Linked DNA regions of Macaca mulatta. The protein of the gene in region 2 purifies or fractionates together with the protein of the main gene of each other region. This does not show direct contact. Links are inferred from orthologs where the notes say so. Each region holds a gene or a part of one and is shown on either strand. Other genes may lie near its edges.

The links.
Region 1: the proteins of SYTL4 (region 2) and RAB3A purify together in Homo sapiens (affinity purification with mass spectrometry; 3 studies listed by BioGRID and IntAct, counting the BioPlex papers as one, with this or other methods). This does not show direct contact. The link is inferred for Macaca mulatta from reciprocal best matches to the Homo sapiens genes SYTL4 and RAB3A.

Annotation. Positions count from the first base shown.
Region 1 is NC_133424.1:18,717,821-18,720,501, forward strand, and holds the end of RAB3A (ras-related protein Rab-3A), read right to left. Parts: intron 2,528-2,681; coding exon 2,403-2,527; intron 1,358-2,402; coding exon 1,167-1,357; 3' UTR 501-1,166; downstream 1-500. UniProt on the Homo sapiens protein: The small GTPases Rab are key regulators of intracellular membrane trafficking, from the formation of transport vesicles to their fusion with membranes.
Region 2 is NC_133426.1:107,583,290-107,587,418, reverse strand, and holds the start of SYTL4 (synaptotagmin-like protein 4), read left to right. Parts: upstream 1-1,329; 5' UTR 1,330-1,446; intron 1,447-1,944; exon of another isoform or gene 1,945-2,038; intron 2,039-4,129. UniProt on the Homo sapiens protein: Modulates exocytosis of dense-core granules and secretion of hormones in the pancreas and the pituitary. Interacts with vesicles containing negatively charged phospholipids in a Ca(2+)-independent manner.

The sequences.
Region 1 (2,681 bases), on a different chromosome or scaffold from region 2:
ACCTGTGACCAAGATGTCCCACTTGGGACTCAGCACGGGGCTCACCCTGCCAACCAGTCCCAAGCCCCAACCCCTCAACACTGCCGTCCACCTGGCTCTGGGCCAAGCCACCGATCCAGAGCTCCCTCAGGTCCTGGGACTAAGGCGGGGATGTGGCCGATCCCCTCAGAGCAGGCTCAGGCCTGGAGTCGGCCCCCAAAAGTTTCAGGCAGGGCCGGGCAGCCTCTGTGTTTCCTTCCCTGGTCGTGAACTATGGAAATGCCATTAAATTATCTCTGTAATGTAACTGAAACTGCTGGCTGGGCGCAGTGGCTCACACCTGTAATCTCAGCCCTTCGAGAGGCTGAGGTGGAAGGATTGCTTGAGGCCAGGTGTTCGAGGCCAGCCTGGGCAACATAGCAAGACCCTGTCTCTATTTATATTGAAAAATAAAAATAACAAAAGAAAATGCTGTGGATGGTCAAAACCAGGGTGGGCAGGGCCCGGTGCTCACAGGAACACACGTGGTCCATTCGCTTTATTGGGTGTGTGTAGTGTTGTCTTGACATCTCCTAAGGAACTGGGGGGCACGTTTGACACTCATGAGGTCAGAACAGGTCTGGTGGGTAGGGGGAGGGGTCCCAGGGTGGTGAATACCCACAGCACAGCCCCCCACCAAAAGAGAAAACTGGGGGAGAGGAGCCCGGCAGGCCAGCCTCTGACCCCCATGGTCCGCACAGGGAAACCCCCAACAGCGGCCTTGGCCCACCGCGGCAGAGCCGAGGGACTGGCAGGCCTGGCCACCTCCCATTGCCTGATCAGCCTGCTCTAGGGTGTCATCTGGCCCCCTCTTCACAACTGACAACTGTGGTTGGGGGTGAATTTAAAAAAAAGGCGAGGGGGTTCAGGAGGGTGAGTGGTGAGTTCACAGGGCCACGAGACACCACGGCTGAGTGGGGAAAGGGCTATATGTACAGGATGGGCAGGGCTTGGGGTGGGCAGGGGAGCCCGGGCCCCTGGGGGACATCTTCGATAAATAAATAAATAGCTACAATAATAAATAAGGGTGATGGGCTAAGTCAGGAGTAGGGGTCTTGTGCCCATGGCTGGTAGGGGCCAGGTCAGGCCCAGGTAGTTGGGGGAAGGTGGGGAAGACGGGAAAGAGGGGAAAGGGGTTGGGGTGGCTCTCAGCAGGCGCAGTCCTGGTGAGGTGGCACCTGCTGGTCACTGAGCTGTGGGCCCTGCTTGGCGCCTGTGACCGCAGGGTCTGCCGTGTCCAATGACTCGGACATCTTCTCGCAGATGACGTCCACCAGGCGCTCAAAGGTCTGCTTGACGTTGATGTTGTCCTTGGCGCTGGCCTCAAAGAACTCGAACCCTGTGGTCAGGGAAGGCAGAGATGAGGACCCTGGCCACGCCCTATGCCAACTCCCAGAGATGCTTCTCTGAGGAAAGGAAACACTGGAGATTCCCAGTGCCAAGTAGGTTATTGAAGGTACTGACAAATCCCACAGAGAAGCAACGTTGAACTGGGTCAGCTCTGCATTTCCTGCTTTTTTTTTTTTTTTTTTTTTTTTTTTTTTGAGACAGGGCCTTGCTGTGTTGCCCAGGATGGAGTAGGGTGGCGTGATCATAGCTCACTGCAGTTTCGACCTCCTGGGCTCAAGTAATCCTCCACCTCCACCTCTCAAAGTGCTGGGATTATAGGCGTGAGCCAGTGCACCTGGCCTCCTGCCCTTCCTTCCGAAAACTGTGTCTCGTTGTCCTTAGGACCTGGCAAGACATGCCCTGCAGCATCCAGCCCAGCACCATAGACTGGCCCTGGAAGCCTCAGACACTCAAATCCAGCCGTGACCTCCCCCTGCTCACACACCCTCTGTGGCTCCCTATTGCCCTCCAAAGAGTCCCAGCCTCTCAGCATATGGTTGAGGCCCTCTCTGATCGGCTACATTTCCTCCAGCTGACCCTCATGTTTCAGTCTTGTGAAATTATCACCAAAACACACAGGATCTTTCTCACCACAAGCCTTTGCCCAAGCTACTTCCTCTGCCTGAAAGACCTTCTTCCAAGCTCTAGAGTCCACTGCCCACCACTCCAGGAAGCCTGGCTCCTCTCATGGGCTCCTCTCATCCAGGTCCCTCCCTCCACCTCAGGGGTCCCTTGAGGCCTCCCTAGATGCCTCTCGAGCCCAGCAACACCCAACAAAGCGTTGGACAATGAGTGTCAGAATCAATCCTTAAACTTTCTGCATGGTGAACTCCTACACATCCCTCAAGATCCGACACAAATGGCTCCTGGATGAAGGCTAGTTTGCAGAAAGTGTGAATTACCTGGCTTAGCTGTAAGACCTTGGGTGTGAGCCCTCCCCTTTCTTAGTGTCCTTTTTCTAGCCTTGTGGGTCTCTGGCCCAGCTGGGCACTCACCAAGGTGGTCAGCTAGCTGCCGGCCACGTTCTGATGACACCACCCGCTCATCCTCCATGTCACACTTGTTTCCTACCAGCAGCACCTGGGCATTGTCCCACGAGTAGGTCTTGATCTGGGTGGACCTATAGGATGCAGCCAGAGGGGGACAGGTTATTGCTTGGAGGATCCCAGCTCCACCCTGACGGGCTGGTGTGGAACCCGTGTCCTTGTCCGAGGGAGAAAGACCCTGAAGCTTGGCCCTCCATCCTCCCCACCATGCTTTTCCCCCATGTGCCC
Region 2 (4,129 bases):
ATAAAGCGGTCTGGGTAGAGTTATAGAATTAGAGTTGTGACCATATATACGATAATTAAAGCCAAGTGAGTGAAAAAGATTATTTGGGGGAGGGAGTATATGTATCCTAGCCCTGAGAATGTCTGACTTTCAGAGGTCAGATAGCAGAAGAGTGGCCTACAAAGGTCACTGAGGAGAGGGCAAAGGAGTAGGAGGAAAAGCAAGAGTATAATGTCATAGATGCCATAGAACATTTCAAGGAGGAGGAAATGGTTAACAGTGTTAAATGTAGGGGAGAAGTCAAGCAAAATAAGGACCAAAAATACCTTACTTATTTGTGGATTTATCGACACTGAGGGTCATTGGTTTTTTATCTCATTGAGAAGTTTCAGTGGGGGAAGGAAGCCAGACTGCTGAGAGCTGAGAAATGAATGAGACGTAAGGGAATAAAAATTGCAATTTCACCTGTAAAGTATGTTTTCAATACATTTGCCCATAAAGAGGACCTGAAGAGGGACCTCCTGTGTAGGGAGGATATTGTTTTAAGATGGTAGATACTTGAGCATGTTTAATTGCTGATGTGAAATGAGGGGGAGAGGGATGGGAAAGAGAGGGAGGGGAATCTGCAATTACTGGGGAGGTATAAACATTTTAAAGTCTATTGATATATACTGCTCACATGCTTTCTAAAAGGGTTTTTAACCAACATATGCTCCTATCAGCAATTATGAGAGCTTGTTTGGTGGCTACTTTGTCATCATTAAGTGTTATTTAAAAAATAAAAAACAAAACTCTTTGCCAAATAATCTCATTATTGTTCTAATTTGCTTTTCTTTGATTACTAGTGAGTTGAATATTTTAACCAGTTGTGTTCTTGAGTGTGTATGTGTGAATTTAGTCTACTCCTTTGCCCAAAACGTTTCTATTTTAGACAGACAATTTGCCATAAAAGGCCATAAGTTAAAGGATCAGAATGGTATCATATTTTACTTACCCAAATTAGATAGTTCATATTCTTTTATCTCCTTAGAAGTGTGAGACAATTTGACAACTTTTGACTCAGCAGAATGAAAGGGGCAGGTGATTTCACCATCTAAGGGAACGACCAACAGATGGAAGTAAGGGGGTGGGGAGGCACGTCTAGTGTTAGACCCCTATCCTCGGTCCCTAGGCTCCCACTCCTAACCTGGAAGGACATTCATTCCTCTTGTGTCTCAAGGCTTTGGGTCCCAGAGCTCCCTTTCGGGCTGAGCGGCCCCCTACTAAGGAGCCCGGGGCGCTGTGCGGCCCCTTTAAGAGTCCAGCTCCTCCCAGCTCCAGGGAAAGTTGCAGCTTTTTCCGCCTCCCGGGAGGGTGAGAAGGGCCGGCCGCCGGAGCTGGGTGGCGATCTTCCCGGAGCCAGAGACCCTCCCTCGAAACCGGCACTGGGACGTCTAGCTCTCTGGAGGCACCTGTTGCAGGTGACAGGTAGGTCAGCAGCCAGCGGCCGCCCCCTCGCCCTCGGTTGGGGGCTCCTTCTGGACCCCCAGCTCCTTTTCGCTGCTGAAGCGCCCCCACCCCCATATCGGGGTCGTGCGTCTTCCCTACCTGCTCTCTGCTCCCCTAGTTTTTCCTTCTCCCTAGCTGACCTCGTCTTCCCTCTCCCCGTCCGCCTCTCCCGACCGCACCCCCCAGGCTTGGACTCCCGTCTGCTTGGGCGGTCCCTCCCGGCCACTTTTCTTTCTCTAGGGCTTCTTCTGGCCCCTTCCCTGACCCACCTAGCACTAATGCGGGCTGTGCCCCTCTGGGAGCCGCCTCCCCTCTCCTCTCCGGCTCCCCTCGCGCGGAGTGCCCGGGCTTTTCCCGCCAGCCCGAGCTGGTGCCCCTCCCGAGAGCTGGCCCTGGGGGCGGGGGCGGGGCCGAGCTCCTAGCGGGAACTGCGCCCTCCAAGGCGTGCAGTCACCTTTTCGTGGGTTTCTCTCGCAGCGCTTGGCCGTCGAGCGGGGTCGCTAACCCGCACTCTCTTCGGACCTCCGACATCTCGGCGTCGGCTTCTCTGGCGTTGGCCAGTCAGCCACAGGTAAAGGCTGGAGGCTGGTCGGCCGGAGTCCTGCCTCAGTGGGCTCCCTCTGCGCTTGGGGCTGGGGACCTGGCTACGTGCTGTGGAGCTGTTTATCTTGCCGCTCTTCAAGCAGGCTGTGAGAGACCTGGTACTGGAGGAGGGTCCCCGAGATCTCAGAAGGGGCACAGAATGCTTCTGTCTCCTGTGATGGTTTGTAATGGGGCAGAAAAAGGTGTTCCTCCAACCCTTAACATTGAGATGGGATTTGGGGTGGTGAAATCATTTGGTTAGAATTCTGGTGGCTTGAAAAGTGGTGAGTTTCTAATTAACCAAGCTTTTCTTCCCCCAGTACCCTTCTTCTTCAGGACTAGAGGACGTAAAATTCCAGAGTACTGCTCTTGGCAGGGTTGACCCTAGACCTTGTATATTTGTGGCAAAAAATGAGTCTTCTGTACATCCTGGACCTCCTATATTTAACTGGCTTCTTTTCTGCTCTTTAAGCTCCCCACCCCCACCTCTCATAAATCTATTAATATTGCGGTATTAATGACTTAAGACTTTTGTCGCTGTGGGAACAATGCTCAATGCAGAGATGTGGCCTTGATGAAGTTTTCCGCATTTTTGGTGGTTTGGTTTTTAGCACCCTAGTAGAAAAGCACACCAACTTGGCTTGTGAGGCTCTGTCTGGGCAGGGGATGAACATTTCTGCTAACACGATTTCAGGTGTCTCACTCTTGGTCAGAGCAGTGAAATGGAGCTCGGAGGCCTGTTCTGGGGTAACTGATCTGTGAGTATATGTAGCATTCCGGCTCTCTGAGCTTGTTAGGCTCTGGTTGTTAGGCTCCATTGAGCCAGACACTGTGATAAGTTCTTTACATAAAAATGCAATCCTCCCAGTAACTCTATACAATAGGTGCTACAGTTATAACCATATTATGATGAAAAAGAGACTTAGAGGGTAAGTGCCTTGCCCTCACAATCTCGGAGGCAGAGCTTGTGTTCCTATCCTGTCACACCACCTCTATTGTCTTGGATGTTGGGAGCACTGAATAGCTCATGAATGAGGACTAAGTGATTAAAAAATTTCCTTCCAAGTATATGTTTTGCTCCTTGATTCCCCCTTAGATTCACTGCCGAGACTATGGACTACTTACCTTACTGATGTCTTACCCACTTCATTTCTGACATGGGCCAGTTGCCACATTACCACTATAAGTACACATCCCTGAGTGTACCTAGATGAGTGAAATCTCCCGGGTTCTCAGCTCTGTGGTAATTGTCTTGAAGTTAGAGGAGGGTAACCCTGGATTCCAGGGATGTGCGCCTGACTCAATTTCTTCCTCTCCTGCTGGCTAGGGGAGAAATAAGTGATAGGGATTTCCTGACAGCCATACCAGAGAGCTTGAGGGTGATCGTGTGCTAGTTTTGTCATGGGATGGATGGAGTACCACAGGCAGGGATAGGAAGAAAATGTCCTCCCTATTCCCAGCTCTGGGACCTTGCTCAAACTGTTCCTTTTTTTCTTCCTAAAAAGCTAACTTTCCTCCCCCATGCCCATTCCCCTGACATTAATTCCTATCCATCCCTCAAGATTGAGTTCTAAAGTCACCTTCTTTGGAACGGCCTTACTGAACACATACTTCTTCCCCCAAGCAGAATTGCCAGTTATCCTGTGTCCTAAAGCACTTTGTTTACACCTCAGTACAGCCCTTAACACTGCTTAGTTGTTTTTCCACCTGGAAGGCTGTAAGTTCTCTAAGGGCAAGGTCTGGATCTTGGAGCTCCCTTTGTCTTAAATATAAGATATTGGCAAATATTTGTGCCAGTAACCGGATGTACCATGCCATTCCTTCAAGGTGCTGAGGTGTAGTGATGGTGGGGTTGAGAGTACAGAAGACACCTTCCTGAGGCGCTTGAAATACCACGGCTACAAGTTTGCCCTGATCACCCTATTTAAACGTGTAATCCCTTCTCTGAACGTTCCATATGCCCTTTCCCTACCTTATTACATTTTTCTCGCTTATTGTCTGCCCTGCCACTCCCTCACCCACCATAACATAAACACCCTGTGGGCAGGGATTGCTGTCTGTTGTATTCACCGGTAGACTT